Drosophila melanogaster: one gene and its partners. The protein of the gene in region 1 interacts with the protein of each later gene in a pairwise test. Each region holds a gene or a part of one and is shown on either strand. Other genes may lie near its edges.

Region 1 (5,075 bases):
ACCTCGTCCGGACTTCGATGCCTCCCGAGAGAAGCTGCAGCGTCTTGGCGAGGGCGAAGGCAACATGACCAAAGAGGAGTTCAAAAAGATGAAGTCAGAGCTGGAGGCGTAAGTGTCAATTAATCCAAATAGTCATTTTCTTATATACTAATGTACATCTTTACTTGCCAGTGAGTACCTAGCTACCTTCAAGAAGACGGTGGCCATGCACGAGGTTTTCCTGCGCCGCCTTGCTAGTCATCCCGTCTTTCGCGTCGATCAGCACTTGAAGGTTTTCCTGGAATACGACCAAGATCTGTGCGCTAAGCCACGCAAGAAGATGGCCATCTTTGGCGGCTTTGTCAAGTCCCTGGGCAAGACCACAGACGAGATCTTGTTGAGCGCCACGGTTCGGGATGTAAATGACTTCTTTGAGAACGAGCTGCAGTTCCTTACCGAGTACCACGGCCACTTGCGCGAGGCAGCACTCAGGACGGAGAAAATGACGCAACGCCACAAGGATGTAGGCGACTCGCATCAGAAGATTTCGAATGCGTTGACGCAGCTCTCGACTACGGAAAAGGGAAATGTGGAGACGTTTGTGGCCAAGACAGCGGAGATATTTGAAAGGATCAAGGTGCGCTACGCTGCGTTTTCGCTATAATTATATTTTATAAATTTTCCTCTTGATATTTTAAAGAATCTGGAAACCCGAGTGGCTAGCGATCAAGATCTCAAGCTGGGCGACACTCTGCGCTACTATCAGCGGGATAGCGACGCTGCCAAAGCTCTACTTATCCGGCGACTGCGGTGTTTGGCTGCTTATGAAGCGGCCAATCGAAACCTGGAGAAGGCTCGCTCCAAAAACAAGGATGTTCATGCGGTAAGATTGAGGGATGATCACAACTAGTTCTTCCAGAACTATGTTTCAGATCGTTTAAAGAGCAATTGTTTTCCCTACAAAAAGTTTCCAGCGGGTCAATTAATTCTCACGCTTCACTAATTACAAATAACAAATTATTTGCGTTCTTGTATTTTATTGCTACCGTACACAACCTCACAACTCTCTGATCTGCCTGTCCCTCCCTCTTCACTTTTTGTGCGTGTTTGTGGTTCTGTTTCTGCAGCCGTTGGAGGTGCAAGAGGTATTTGGCATTTAACGTTTTAACCGTCGGTTTAGTAGATGTGTCGCCACCCCACGTAAATGCTGCATGCGCTCCACCGTTGCTCAATCTGTTGTATTCACTTTAGCATGCCCTTGCTGTGGCCCACTTGTTGTGTTCCCTGTATATAATCGTTTTTGTTTATCCTCCAATTAGGCCGAGACTGCCCAGGCGGAGGCCTGTGAAAAATTCGAATCTATGTCTGCATGTGGAAAGGAGGAGTTGATCGGTTTCCGCAACCGACGGGTAGCTGCTTTCAAGAAGAGGTGAGTCAGCAGCTGCTAAACATTTTGCTATGCTCTGCATTTTATTATCGCTTTTCTAAACACAGCCTCGTCGAGCTCTCAGAGCTGGAGATCAAGCATGCCAAGACGCAGTATGAATATCTGCGCCAATCACTGCTAGCGCTCAAAGAGATTGCCTGAGACGGGGAGCCGGAAGTAGACAAGGAATAGAAGGATGAGTCACCCGCACATTGTTTACACACCCCATTGAAACGCAAGCCTCATCGATTACACACATCCGGGAGACGAAGTAAATCAATTGTTTAATTGCTAAGCAAACAGTTTATTATTGCACAGGCCAAATCGAGTGCAACATTATTATCTTAGCCCACGTATTATATTAACGAATATTCATTTGTTTTGTGAACAGAGCGCTTTTATATTTGTCAAACAAGCATTCCTCTCTACAGCATAAACTACAACTACATATATTGTAAACACTTGCATTTGAAGCAGAATATAAACGAGAAATATTGTACAGAAGGCTGGCTGTTTGTGAGCAGTCAGTATACTAGCATTGTTTGGAGTCTATTCGGTAACTGGGCAACATCAAGGGTTTCCAAATTAAGCGTCTCAAGGGGTGCACATTTCCATTGTCGCTGAAAATTGTGTTTGTTGTCAGTGTTAGATAGATTTTCAAAGTCCATAAGCCATGGATGAGTTCGGCGTCTTCGATTACAAGCGCCCTGCCAGCGCTACAGATCCCGATTGGAGGACCTCGTACTATCGAGGGCATCGCCACATTACAGACTTGAGAATGGGTAACAAGCTGAACGCCAAGTTTACGGATAAGGGTATTTATGTAAAAGATCCGCTGCTGTCCGAGAAGCCGACTTCTGAGTGCATGGCCAACTATGTGTGGCAGGTGAGTTGATTGATATGCTGAGATATGTTGCACCAAACTAAAACGTGACCATGATGTTCCAGTATAACGATCCCAACGCACTTAGAAATCCCTCGCTCAACATGAAAACACAGTATATGAAACCATTTGAGGAGGGTTCCCTTCGCTTTGTAAAGCGAAAGATGAAGCCCATTTCTAGTGTCAGTCATGAGTCGTATGTACTTAAGGAGCTGCCGGAGGAACAGGAAATATTGCCTGTAACAATGCCCACTCCGGTGGTAGCCACCAAGCTAGTCATCGACCGTTCGGAGGCGTCCTTTAGCAAGTACCTTGATCCCTCCTCCACCACATACAATCTGTCGTATGTGCGCTGGGGTCCCGAGGACTTGTGTGGCGGAGTAGCTGCCCACGACAATATTACATACTGGAATTGGACGGAGAAGATGCCGCCCATCCAGAAAGTGTCCCGCGAAGAGGATCCTACAATGTGTGACGAGGGTAATACGCATAATTGCCCAAAGCGACGCTGTGAGTTTCAAAACCTCACCAAACGAGTGCCGCATTCGGGAATGGTCACCGAGGTGCGCGCTAATTTCACGGATCCACAATTTCGAAGGGTTGAATTCGATCCAGAAGTTAAGCCCATACTCGTGCACGAGGAAGTCACTCCGTTTGCGGAGAAAAGCGAATACGGCATCTACGGATCGGGAGAACCAGTTATCAAATACGTTTAGTTCTCTACACATTGTTTTGACTTTTTGTCAAGTTAATCAGATCGCTAACTTAAATTATTTGCAATACTTATTGACATTAGAACGAATAATTTTATTGCATTAAATAAATTCTGGATATTATTTAGATGAAAATTTCATTCAAATGAGTTAAAGCTGTGGGGAAGCAGATGGTAGGCGGACGTGACCAGCACTTCAGCTTCGTCCGGAATTGAAGGAATGCAGTTCTCTTGCTCCGGCGGCGGAGCCTTGGCAATGTAGATAGGAATATCATTTTGGATGAACTCCAAAATGAACTGCCGGCAGACTCCGCAAGGTGTGGTAAACCCATCTGGGTGATAGGCTACCACAGCACCCGCCGTATACTTCTTCTCGCCCTCGCTGATACCCTTGGCCAGGGCACAACGCTCCGCACAATTGCCTGGAGTGAAAGCTACGTTCTCGATGTTGCAGCCCGCGTAGATCCTGCCGCACTTCGCACGGAAGGCTGCTCCCACTTTGAATTTGCTGTAGGGCGCATAGGCACATCGACGGGCAGAAAGAGCCGCCTCTAGCAGCTCCCGGCCATCCTCACCTGGAGATTACGGTTTGATTACCAATGGCAGAGGATTCACCATTATAGCCAAGCCTTACCAACAGCACAGAACGCTACTGTGTACTCCTCCAACATCTGTGGATGTGGCAGGTTTTCGGATTCACTAGCCCGACCCCTGTCGCCATTTAGACGCGCCTCCCTGCGTGCTAGCTCGCATAGAAATCCCTCCAAGGTCATCATATACTTTCCCAGTACCTTTCGAAGATTCTTCTGGCGCAAGTTCTTGATCTTACCGCCAGCGCACTTGGTGCCAGATTGCTCCTGGCGACGAGCTAGCTTCGCCTGCAACATTTCCAGTTCCTTCATCTTCTTCTCCAGCTCTTTTCGCTTCAGCTCATCCTGTAGGTCGCTCAGGTTCCGCATGTAGCGCTGAAGGAGCTTCCGCTTTTCGGACATTTTGCAGAACTTCAAATTTTTAAAACGAAAACAATTTTTGAAAGCCAGAAGCAAATGCTGTATCTGTTGGCAATTTGTAAAACACTAATGTCAAACAAATTATTTTCTTTTTGTTTCTTTTTCATAAAAATGATTATATTATATTATTTAGCGCCATTTGAATTTTTATTACATTTATTACAGTTGATGTTCATTAAGGCATTTAATGAAACAACAACAACAACTAAATACGTTTAAAATTTTTACAAATTAAGAATGTCGAAAAAGCTCGCGCGTTTTCGACGCGTTTCGGACGCGTTTTGAACGCGCCTTTATCGCGACATCGGTCTAGCCAGTCTGTCTTATTGTTCGTATGAACATCATGATCTCAAAAACTAGAATCCAAAGGAATTGGAAACAAACCTTATAAATTTGATTTAAAAGATTGCCACTACCACAATGATCTTTCTTATTTTCGCTACTATACAAATGGCGAAATTTAATCTCACAATAATTTGGTGTTTATGAATCAGAAGTTGAGTGCATTTATCACGTCATCACAAATCGGGGCATTCCCTGCATTGCGCTTAACGTCAGCAGTTGTCAATCCAAATTCGATATCTTTAATTTATAACCTTAATTTTGATATATAATCAAAAGCGATTAAACACCTTTTCCTAGAATCTTTCACTGTGTCAATCTTTCCAGCATTTATATCCCCATTTCCTATTCATTGATCGAAAAAAAAACATTAAACACTGCTAAGTAGTGTAATTTTCTTTATTGCAAGTGATTAGATCAAAATTATATTGATTAGAGGCAGCAAGGGGTTGAGAAACAACCTTTACCTAGCTACCTTCTGCCTATTTTCGGTTCTTGCCTGCAGTGGTCGTTACTTTCGATAGGTGTGAAAACTGCTCGGCAACAGATTAAAGATTGAGGTGCACATGACGGGATCGTCACTCTGCAAAAGTTCCTGCTTTTCAGCAATCCTCGCATCGATCGCCTGGGCCACATATATGGGTATATCCGCGTTGGCAAACTCGCGTATAAACTGACGACAAACGCCGCAAGGAGTGGTGAATACATTAGGTTCGTAGGCCA
Region 2 (4,487 bases), on another chromosome or scaffold:
CTCCACCGACGCTCCAGCACCCGCTGCGGCTGCTCCAGATACTGCTCCCGTTGCCATTTCCATCACACGACGCCTCCTCTTGCGACGCTTGCGAGGACGAAAATTATTGGCAAATTTCTGCGGCGCGTGCTGCTTCTTGCTTGAATTTCAGTGTGACCGACCGCAAATGCTGGAAAATACTAAAACAGCAAATTTTAATATAAATAATTTTGCAAAAAATTTCAAATTTAAATTATTGTTTGTTAAGTTTTTGTTGAAATGGAATTTTAAAAGAAATTACAATACATTTAATAACAACTATTACTAAAATAGTATTTCTGAATATATAAGTAATTTTGCAAGCATTTAAACTTCTCGTTAAGTGGGCTTACAGTATATGAAATTTTTGATATTATTATTACTATTAACTTTATTAAATCAAATGGTTTTCATATCGCAGAACTTAAAACTTTTCAAAGAATTCTCTACGCCTTAACCATTTCCCCGATCCAGTCCAAGTATTCGAGAACATTGGTGTAGACATTTGAAGCGAAAGGCTCTAACCTGCCAAAGCTCGCCAGTCCGACCAGGCTGAATGCCCTCCTGTTTCCGTGGGTTAGAGGGTTTACCAAGGGACTGCCAATGCCCACGCGCAGGAGATGAGGAGAAGGGCTTTCCATGCACAACTGTTGCTCTCCGATGTCTTGGTGATCCTCCCGGTAGCACTTACTGGCATTTGTTCGCCGCACCACCACGTTAGTCGGCGTGCCCCAGCCAACGGCTATGAGATTCAGGGCGGGATCAGCAGCACGCCTTTGGAACTTCTGCTGCTCCGCTTTGTTGCTTAGCGAGGGCAGGCAGATCGGTCGAATCGATTCTAGCCGCATAAAATGAACACATTATGATTATGAAGCTAATCCGTATGGCCTTTGGAAGACACTCACCCGTGTACTGCACTTCCTCGCCCAGTTTAAGCAGAGCTATGTCGTTTTGGGCCAGGCTAACGAATTTGGGATGCTTGTGAACAGATGCGACAGCGTAGGTATGCACATCGCCTTGTCCCAGTTGAACCTTTCTAGATGTATGTACATACAATTGCACTCAGATTACTCAACTTTCTCCTCCCAAGGGATCAAAGTACTTACAATGCCGTACTTTCGGAAATCAACTGCGCCGTTGTCACCACGAAAGCTACAAGAAGAACACATTAGTAATCTTTTCGAATGAGGAAAGAAAAGATGACAACTTTTCGAAATAAGTGCGCCGTTTGAGATTATAAAGGAATCCTTGTAGACCTCAGCCAACCACTCGAAGGACCTGATCGCATCGGGACCACTTCTATCCCAGCTGTTCAACGTGTCGTTGCCCAGACACCCAGCATCGAGTAGGTCTATATAGGGTAGCACCACCTCAATGTCCGCATCCAGAACAATGCGCTCGATAAAGTCGATATGGCCCATTACATCGGTGTACATACCGAAACCTCTGCAATCTTCGGTGCCAGTGCTGACGATTCCCAACTGCGTTGCTCGCTTGATGCCATCGAACAACATATGTATGTACAAGGGTCCACCGGAGTCCCTTTTGCAGGTATCTCTGCCTACCGCGGTGCCGGCACAGAACATTGGGTAATCAAAAGTGTACCAAAATGCTGCCTCGCACATTTTCCTATCTATTCTGTAGATCTTGACCATTTGAAGATTGTTACTCATCTTCCCATTGCCCGTTACGCCCCAGCCGATTGCTGTGAACTCCTGGATGAGATCCGTTTGCGGCTTGAGTTGGTCGTTCAGTAAAATACATAACGGTTTGATTTGTGGCTTGTAAACGATACTTTTTTGCAACCTAAGAAGCGCTATGTCATTGCGATAGTTTTGTATCGCGAAGGAATCGTGGATGTAGACCCTCTCCACGTTGTATATCTCGTGGGGATGATTGTGTTCACCCGTCGCCAGTAGATGGTACACACCCAAGGTAACTGTGCTGCAAATCACATATAATTATTCAATTATATTATATTATTTATTAATTTAAGGTGCTTACAGCTGAGTGTACTTTACAATGCATTCCTCATCGGTGCACATACAATGAGCGGCCGTCAAGACGAATTTGTTAGTAATTACCGATCCTCCGCAGATAAATTCGTCATTGGTTTTTATGAGGGCCATCCACGGATTCTTCAGTTCCCCCGCATCCACTCCACCTACAATCTTCGGTATTAATTGCATCGGAACTCCACAATCCTCGTCCAAAAGGCGGGCCGATCCTCGTCCCGCCGTCAGCATCCAAGCGAATAAAACAACCCAAGCTCTGCACATTTCCAGTGAAAACCTTCAAACACACTGAAAGTGAGCTGCTGTGCGTCGTGAATTTGAAGAAAAGCTTATCAGCTATGAGAATGCTGTTTCTATTAATATTTTTACTCTTATCAGAAAGAGCGGGATTTTACCAAAATGTTTTTAGCGCTAAATAACTTGACCTTTTTGAACAACTGAAAAATTAAGAATTTTAGATCCAAATTTTCAGAAAAATGGATATTTTTCTTAAAACCAGAATATAATTTATGGCAAGCTACTTCTTAATTCCTGGAATTTAAAACACATTTAAAACTAATACGCTCGATTAGCAATAAAAAAAACATTAAAGCTCTTAACAGTATTTTCATTTATTTAAAAATCACAAATAACACTGTGCCTTACGGTCACACCATCAGAAGATACCGTTACGCTACGGTACTAAAATACCTACTAAGAATACCAATGCGGTGCTGTTAGGCGCCTTCCAGTGCTGTAGACCGCAACTGTGTCATGTGATAGAGACCAGCTGACCCGTACATTTTCCAGAGTTAGGTTTTAATTTCGCTGTCCACATCGCTCGTAAGAAAAAATTAGAAAAAACCAATCGAAATGGCTCTGCACTCGGCAATCAAGGGAAAACTGATCAGCGTTATCGGCGACGAGGACACCTGTGTGGGCTTTCTGCTCGGCGGAGTGGGCGAGATCAACAAGAATCGCCATCCCAACTTTATGGTGGTCGACAAAAATACGGCCGTCAGCGAACTGGAGGACTGTTTCAAGCGTTTCCTTAAGCGGGACGATATCGACATCATTCTAATCAACCAGAACTGCGCCGAGCTTATTCGTCATGTGATCGATGCCCATACGTCGCCCGTGCCCGCTGTTTTGGAGATTCCCTCCAAGGACCATCCGTACGACGCCAGCAAGGACTCCATTCTGCGTCGCGCCCGCGGCATGTTCAATCCGGAGGATCTGGTGCGCTAATTCCTCGAATTCTGCTCGAGGACACTGTTTCGTATTGCTGCAACCGCCAGAGAATTGCTTTACACCCTGTAAACAACTATCCATAGATTCAGTGCTTCGCCTTTGTTCTTATCGTGTATTTAAAGACATTTATTAAATGGTTTTCGTTGTATAAATAGATTAAAATCAAATTGTTCCAAATCAAATACTGGAAGTCTGATATCTGGAGGTTTTCCATTGAAAGGTCTTTCCAGCTATGTCAAGTAACAGTCTTCCAGCAAAGATACAGTGCGCATTCGATAGGTCAAAAATATATTAAGCCACTAAATTGGTGTTCATCCTTACAACTCTCATTTGCAGATTTGTAAGAAATCTAATTTTTGGCAATGGCATTGGTTATTTATTTATCAATTTGTTGCCAGAATAATTTTTTTTACCAGTAGATAAGAAACTTGATTAACAGTATGCCCCGCATAAATGTGGTATCTAGAATTTTCATTAAAATAAATTAGCTATTAAATTTTGAAATTAGATTAGCTGTGTTAAATGTTCCATACATTTTCAATGAGTTTGGTGTTGCTGATTTTAAGGCTAAAGGAATATCTTGTATAAATTTACCAGATAACAAGTTCAGCGTGCTGTTAAGTCTGTTATCAGCTATTCCAAGGGCTGTTAGCGCAATCAGCTGTTGTAGAGCGGAGTATTTTCTAGCTGGCAACGTAAACATAAAATATATCTTTCTGAGAACCTGGCCACAAGTTGATCGATCGTCATTAGTCATCTTACCGCTGCACGCACACCATGCTAAAGGCCGTTATCCTGATCGGCGGTCCCCAGAAGGGCACCCGCTTTCGCCCCCTTTCGCTTGACACGCCCAAGCCGCTCTTTCCATTGGCCGGTCGTCCTCTAATCGCCCATCATATTGAGGCCTGCGCCCAGCTGCCCGATATACGCGAGATCCTGATCATCGGCTATTATCCGCAGACCCAAATGGAGGGATTCGTGGGCGACATGCAGGCCCTGTACAGCAGCAGCAACATCAACATCAGGTGGGAAGAGGGGCTTTGGAAGAACTTGAATCTTAAGTTCCAAGTTGACCTACCCTTTATCATAGGTACCTTCAGGAGTTCACTGCCTTGGGCACTGCAGGCGGAATGTACCATTTCCGGGATCAGATTAGAGCTGGTAACCCCCGAGCCTTCTTCGTATTGAACGGAGATGTTTGCGCTGATTTTCCGCTGCAAGAAC
Region 3 (7,469 bases), 2.4 Mb from region 1:
ATGTCCATATTTTGAGATCATTTTGGGCTGTCAAACGATAGAAAAATATATAGTTACTGCATGCTGTCCAAGTGTAATCTTATGAGTGGTATGGCTCACCGTCTCCAGCTTGGCGTCGATCTGGATGTCCACCTCCGCAAAGAATTGTTGGTAACTAGCTTGTTGACATTGTAAACATGACCTTGGTTCAGGCTGTGATTGAATTTGAGCTTGACTTTGTGATTGTGACGTCCCTTGACTCTGAAATGGGAATTACGCTTGATTAGGCTTCCGATTGAGAGGTTGTGATTGTAGTTTATAGGTGATTAAGCACGTCCTTACAATAAATCTTGCGACTGTGATTGAGTTTACCCTTGACGGTAAGCTTGGGTTTTTTAGGTAGTGGTTGTTCTAGGTCCAACGGATCTTAGCTGCTTTGCACTCTCTTTGTTTACCTGAATCTGTGATTGTGACTGCCACTGTGTCTGTTCATTCAATCCTTGATTTTCATCTACAGGATATGCATATGGAACCCATTCCTGAGTCTTGCTGGGTACCAAACTACCCACTAAAATTATTGCATAGATCGCAATATTAAATGCGATCGCCATTTCGTTCCCTTCTTGTCTACTCTCGAAGGCAGAAATGAAATCGAACTCTTTTATAGCGTTAATGATAAAATACCCTGAAATTAAAATATCCATGCTTGGAGTGAATAACTAGATTAACATATCGATCGAGCATCACTAAAGTAATATTTAACAAAGGGCAACCTTGATCAAGGGTTTAATAAATACATTTTTTGTATTCAAGCAGCTAGATGTAAAGATATCGTAACTTTTTAAAGGAGCTTGAATTACAGGTTGATCATAATTAATCGTAAAAGAAGATTGTACTTAGTATGATAGGTATCGTTATTCTTTAGTATTTTGTTTGATTGATTTGTGACCTCATTAAATAACACGGATAAAAACATAACAATTGTCTCTGGCCTGAATTCACCCTAAACACTGGCGACTTTTGTCGGTTTATTCATTTCCATATTTTCGATTATCATAATAAAAGTCTTTCTTTATTACAGCTGGGAAAATTGTAAAATATTTGTATATATTTAATTTCCCTTAATAAAAATTATATTTATTTCCGAGCCCTTAGGAAAAGGCAATTTCACATATGTGCCAAGCAAATCTATTAATTGATTTGCTAATATTTCATTCGTAAGCTAAAAGTTCAATTTGAACCGCACAAATCGATTACGCGATCGTAGACCAAGGATCGAACATCCTTCGAAATCGTGAAGTCGAAGTGCGAGAATCCTTCGAAGCGAATGTTCCTGTTTTCTATGCAGTTGGGCAGGTCCCGCTCCAGTCGAAGGACATCCGATTCGGATCCCAACCAGTCGCCATCTCCGCGGTGAAGAGCCACCTTGCCCAGTGCCAGGGAAAGGTTGTAAAGTGGGGGAAAGATCGACTGGTAGCGTATCTTATTCAGAATTAGCCCGTAGTCGTACTTTTGGAAAGCAGAATTGCCCTGCAATTGGGCGAAATGATAGATCTGCTTGGCGGAGCTTCCCTGCGAGGCGTGACCTTCCAAAATGGGGGATAGTGTCTACAAAAGAAGGTAATATCTGAACCCTTGAAAACAAAATCAGGGACTTGTTTTCTACCATATTGAAGCTGTTGAAGTTAAATCCACAGACCACAAATTCAAAGATGGCACAGATGCGACTGGGGATAAGCTTGTTGCAGATGTGGTTACGGAACATGTCAACGATCCGGTTTTTCAGGGAGATCTTGTGGCCGCCCAGGAGATTAAGCAGCATCTATAATATTGAATATATATCGAACCATATAGAAATGATATACCTTTTAAACTTCTCCTGTACTTACTGTGAAGCCACCCTGAAGAACTTTCATAAACTTGAGTGCTGGACTGCGTGTTCCTTCCATATAAACTGATGGCGAGAGGGACTGCATCAATGAGATCTTGCCTGCATACTCAGGTCTTTCACTACACATCACAAAGAAGGCCGTGGATCCCTGCGAGTGACCAATGTACTGGATGCTCGGCATTTTAGTCTGCAGCAGGATCAAGTCGATGGCAGCGGGTAGATCGTACTGCCCGATCTCGTGGAAGGAGAAGTCCCAGAAGATCTTGTCGCTCTCCCGACCGGCCAGGCGCTCCTCTGAGTAAACGTTACCCCTAGTGTTCAACATCCAGACGTCGTAGCCGCTTTGGGACAGGATATAGGCCAGACCCTGGGATGGACCGAACTGCACCCAAGTGTCCGAGCTGGCCATGAGGCCATGGACCAATAGGACGGGTGTGGCTCCAGATCGCGGAATCCGATGCAGGCAGAGCTTGTAGCCGTCGGCAGTGAATGCGTAATGGGTCTCTGCTTGATGGCCATATTTTGAGATCATTTTGGGCTGTCAAATGATAGAGAAATATATAGAAACCTTTATTATAGTAACTGCTGTCCCCATGGAATCTCTTGAGTGAAATGGCTCACCGTGTCCAGCTTGGCGTCAATCTCGATGTCCACTTCCGTAATGTATTGTGGGTAACTAGCTTTCTGGCACTGTGAACATGACCTTGGAGCAGGTTGTTCGTCAAGATCATCATCAAATTTGGGGCCCTGATCTTGGTCTTGACGTTGTGATTGTAATTGCGATTGCCTCTCGTTGGGAGCTTGTGATTGTGATTGATCTTGCTCTTGCGATTGTGATTGTGATTGAGCTTGCTCCTGGATTTGAGCATGGGCTTGAGTTAGTGATTGTGCAAGCGCTTCAACTGCTTGAACTTGGGATTGCTGTTGGGATTGCGTTAGTGATGTACCTGAGGCTTGAGTCTGTGATTGAAGTTGCTCTTGTACTTCAGCTTGGGCTTGATGTAGTGATTGGTCCAAAGCGGTATTTTGCGCTACATCCCCAGCTTGATCGCCTGATTGATCATCAGATCGAAGTGGTTCTTGCTGCGGTGATTGAACTTCAGATTGCTGTTGCGCTTGCGCTTTCCTCAAGGTTGTAAGAATTATACCATGAGCTTCTGATTGGGCTTGAGATTTCCGCTGAAGCTTAGTATTCGCTTGTTCTTGTGATTGGGATTGAGCATCCAATTGAGCTTGCGTCGGAGATTGGTCTAAAGCGGTATCTTGATCTCGATCCTCTGGTTGAAGTTGTGGTGGTTGAAAGATTGGAGTTCCTTGTGCTTGAGTCTGAGATTGATATTGAACATGAGCTTCTTCTAGAGCCTGATCGAGAGTCTGAGCTTGCGCTTGAGCTTGAGCCTTGTCTTGATCGTTAGTCTGTGACAGAAGTTGTTTTATTATTTCACTTTGGGCTTGATGAAGTGATTGATCTACGGGGTCTTCCTTTGCTTGATCGTCTGGTTCGACCAGCGATTGTTGCGTCGTTTGAGACAGTGATATTCCTTGTGATTGAGCCTGAGATTGATATTGAACATGCGCATCTTCCAGAGCCTGATCGAGAACTTGAGCTTGCATTTGAGCTTGAGCCTTTAATTGACCGTTAGTCTGCGACTTAACTTGGTTTAGTACTTCAGATTGCGCTTGATGAAGTGATTGGTCTATGGGATCTTCTTGTGCTTGATCCTCTGCTTGAACTAGCGATTGTTGTGGTGATAGAGGCGGTGCACCCCCTTTTTCCAGAGCCTGCGATTGATCTTGCGATTGTGCTTGATCTTGGGACTGTTCTTGACCCTCTAACTGCAATTGTGACCGCTCTTGAGCCTGTGATTCAGCTTGGTCCTGATTCTCTGCTACATCTCCCGATTGCTGTGATGATCGATTTTCAGCGTTTGCCGATTCTGGATTAATAGCCTCATCTTGGGATTGAGCTTGATCCTGCGATTGGGATTGCCCTTGTATCTCCTTTTCCAGTCCTTGTCTTTGATTCTGAATTTGAGATTCCGTTTGCGCCAGACCTTGTCTAAGAACTTCAGCTTCATCTTCAATCTGTGATTGAGCCTGGTCTTGCTTTTGATCTCCCTCTTCATTTGGTGGTACTAAAGCTATTTTTCCCGACAGTCCTCCTGGTGCTTCAGCTTCTTCACTTTCTGGATCATCGGCGTTTCTTTGTGATGAAGTTTGAATATGCGGATAAGGTTTTTCTCGTAATTTAGCTCCATCTTGATTCAGTGATTGTTGAATCTGGGTCTGTTGCTGCGATTGAGCCAGTCCTAGTTGTTGCGATTGGAATTGTTTTTGGACTTTAGTTCTGGCTATATTCGCGTATTGGATTTGTTGCTGTGATTGACCTAGACCTTGAGCCTGCGATTGTGATTGAGATTGCTTTTGGATTTGAAGCTTCGCTTCTTCAAGCCCTCGGCTAAACGATTGGGCCTGTCCTTCAGATTCAACTGAGGGCTTATAGCTTGAATTACTTTCCAAGACTATTGGTTGAGGTTTAAACACGAATCCGTAATCTTTTACAATGGATTCTCTTTGCAAGCGCACCTTTTGCTCATCTTCTGTTGAATCTGCATCGCCATTGATGTCCAATATGCTCTCAACCGCAGGAAGGATCGGGGGGCTTATAATATTGTTCAATTGATTGTTTATATCAATAATTCCCTCGCTGGGTTCCACTCGAAATATCGCCAAGAGCGCAACGAATGCGTAAAGGAATCCTAACTGCATTCTGAAACTACTTTTAGCAGCGAATCGGAAAGGAGCCTTTTATAGGCTCGCAAATGAAATGCCATGAAATTGATAACACATGGATTAAAGCGATTTTAAATGGATTATCTCTCGATGTTACATCACAAGTGGCAAATGAGTTGGGACAGCAAGATTGATGGGCTTCTTGAAAATACATTTTATTGTTACAATTCCAGGATTTGGTATTGAATAAGTGTTTTTTTTTTTGCCTTAGCTTCCCAGTTACAAACACAAGATATAGATCAAGTGTGTGGTTTGCGGATTTTTCATTTAATCGAACTTAAATAACTAATTATGTTAAGTAGAAGCTTAAGGATACACTTGATTTTTTTATTACCATCTAAAATCAAAAATAGTGAAACTGTAATTTAAAGAAGAACAATGGAGAATTTAAGGCGCTTCGGTTTGGGTAAAGTTACTGAACTTTTGACAATCTAATTGCACAAGTGCACGAGGCGCAACCGTTATTATCCTTGGTCCTTGTTTCGTCCTTGTTCCGGTGGCGTTGGCAAATTCACGCCACTCGCTTGTTTGCGCAAATTTGATTATCAAAATACCCAAGGAGAGTGCAGCCGTGGTCGGAAAAGTCGGGAAAGAAGTCGCGAAAGGAAGAAGGATAATGCCATGTCGCCGCATTAGCGCCTCTGGTGGGTCGGGTTGGGCGTGGTCGTTGTCCCGTGAAACAAGCTCGAAATTGAGTTTGCCTAGTGTCCTTGCGCCCCTTTAATACCACCCCCTCCTGTCCACCACCACTAGCCCTTTTGCCTGCTGGGCTGATTAAAGCTCCATGCCAACTTGCGGTGATTTGCTTTTTTTTTCTGGCACCATCATTTGGATGCAGTGGCGCCCTGCACAAATGGGGCATTAAGCCCTCCGATGTCGGGACCTGACATATATTAAATTTCATCTCGCCGTCAGTCGGATTCGGATGCGGAATCGGGCGCCTAATGAAGGTTAAGCAACTTTTAATGTCCCGGCCCGGGCCATTTTGCAGACCATTAAATGTTTCGCCTGGCAATATGCCATATGTTTCCAGCATGGACATAAGCCCCATGTCCGGAAAATGTTCGCTACGTTCTGCAAAAACTTTACTTATCATTTCAACGCCAAAAGCCATAAAGACGCTCGCTAAGTCTGCGTGTGTTTGTGATGACACGACGATGACAGTAATCGTAATCCTAGTCATGGTAATGATGACACTGGGGCGCTCAGCCCACAGTCATGCCATATAAGCATATGGCGGTTGGGTTCCAGGAATCAGGCTGGGCAGAGACACTTAACGGTCATGTGGAGGGCTAACGAGCGATTTCACCCTTTATGGCCAGCATTTGGATGCCATCGGTTATCGGATTCCGTCACGAGTATTTTCAATTAGTAATGTGGACTGTGGAAATCGGTTTCACTGGCGTATCGCATTGATATGATTGCTCTTTGTGTTATTAGTTAATTGTTCTGGTTGTTCAATGTATTTCCTTTGGGCTTCCCACACATGTAGTTTCACTCACCGCCAGTGTCACGCCCGATGGACACCTTCCGGAATCCCAGTCAATCGCAATTGGTGTGACTTTCGACTGCCTCAGTTGCTCCTGAACTCCTGAGTTCAATCTTCAATCGTTACCCCTTTGCACTCGAGCAGAACGCGACGCAGTCTTAAGTGGTATGAAGATTGTAACATTCGAACCTTGGTGCACTTGAACAAGTAAGATGGTTGAAATTTAACACTTTTTTTTACTTTTAGGTAAGAGATATAACTATTAGTAGATTTCCATTTTATAATTAATACCACTAGAGCTAATCTCTGGGGATTTAAAAATTACATTCTAAACAGTTTCATCCAGGAAAGCATGTTCTGAATTGATGCTTGTGAGATTTTCTTTTTCTGAGTGTATTTTTTGCCTGGTTATGTGAGCGTTTTCCATGTTCACACAAGTACAGCCCCCCCCCCCCTTTGCCGGCGGCACACCCCTCAGTAATTTCATGCTCCATTGGCCAACGAAATCGCCACACAATCAAAGGAAAAGCTTCGCCCTTTTCGTCAAGACATGAAGTTATACAACCATCGAGGTGAATGCTAAGAATTTGGCCCACATTGTGGCACTTCGAGAGTTCGCTGAAATATATATATATATATAGTATTTAAATTCACAGGCCCAATTTATGCACTTCTAAGTTTTTGAAACGAGACTCGTACATTCATTTCGGCCAGCCAACGCAACTTTCGATTGGCGTTTGTCCAGGGTCCTTGTAGCGATATTTATGCAGTTTTTCCATGGAACAAGGGAATACTATCTCCAGCTGTCGCTGTTGTTGTTCTTGTCACTGCATTCATGGCCACTTCTTTCCGCTCGCCATTTCTTTTGGGCTTTCTCCGCTCCGCTCCGCACTGGTCCACTTCACTCCACTCCATTTTTATTTATTTTCCCCGACTTTTGTATTTCTGTTTGCATTTTTTTTAAACACGTTTCTTTTTTGTGCTGCTGTCGGGCGCCCCAACACGAGAAGTCCATTTCGAAATTTATGTACACACAAATTGAAAGCGTTGGAAGGGACTGAGAGCCGAAATGAAGGAAAGAAAAGTGTTTTGGTGCTGGCGGAAAAACCGTTGGCTGCATTTCTCGAATTGCAGTTTCGGTGCAAAAAGAATTCGGGGCAGAAAAATACAAACGATATGCCTTTAAGTGACACTTGCCAGGAGGTTTTGTATTCCCGATGGGTGGAGTCCTTTTTGGTGGAGCGGACCGATAGTCCAAAACCGTCGACAAAACGTTTGGATTGTTGATTTTGGAGCGGGGAAAAGGCGAGAGATAAA

The links.
Region 2: the proteins of CG8292 (region 1) and Vha14-1 interact in a two-hybrid assay, tested with the Drosophila melanogaster proteins (one large-scale study listed by BioGRID).
Region 3: the proteins of CG8292 (region 1) and CG31872 interact in a two-hybrid assay, tested with the Drosophila melanogaster proteins (one large-scale study listed by BioGRID).

Annotation. Positions count from the first base shown.
Region 1 is NT_033779.5:8,214,903-8,219,977, reverse strand, and holds CG8292 (uncharacterized protein), read left to right. Parts: upstream 1-1,960; 5' UTR 1,961-2,078; coding exon 2,079-2,291; intron 2,292-2,353; coding exon 2,354-3,004; 3' UTR 3,005-3,127; downstream 3,128-5,075. Other genes in the region: Snx6 (sorting nexin 6), read left to right, coding at 1-108, 172-616, 680-862, 1,107-1,124, 1,299-1,408, 1,474-1,567; CG8349 (uncharacterized protein), read right to left, coding at 3,139-3,575, 3,635-3,992; CG8353 (uncharacterized protein), read right to left, coding at 4,864-5,075.
Region 2 is NT_033778.4:15,678,381-15,682,867, reverse strand, and holds Vha14-1 (vacuolar H[+] ATPase 14kD subunit 1), read left to right. Parts: upstream 1-2,783; 5' UTR 2,784-2,885; coding exon 2,886-3,260; 3' UTR 3,261-3,442; downstream 3,443-4,487. Other genes in the region: Impbeta11 (importin beta11), read right to left, coding at 1-63; CG30091 (uncharacterized protein), read right to left, coding at 465-856, 924-1,054, 1,125-1,170, 1,226-1,962, 2,023-2,297; Gmppa (GDP-mannose pyrophosphorylase A), read left to right, coding at 4,041-4,288, 4,354-4,487. UniProt on the Drosophila melanogaster protein: Subunit of the V1 complex of vacuolar(H+)-ATPase (V-ATPase), a multisubunit enzyme composed of a peripheral complex (V1) that hydrolyzes ATP and a membrane integral complex (V0) that translocates protons.
Region 3 is NT_033779.5:10,637,116-10,644,584, reverse strand, and holds CG31872 (uncharacterized protein), read right to left. Parts: upstream 4,655-7,469; 5' UTR 4,640-4,654; coding exon 2,492-4,639; intron 2,409-2,491; coding exon 1,869-2,408; intron 1,802-1,868; coding exon 1,646-1,801; intron 1,588-1,645; coding exon 1,210-1,587; 3' UTR 1,046-1,209; downstream 1-1,045. Other genes in the region: CG18284 (uncharacterized protein), read right to left, coding at 1-27, 100-240, 435-590.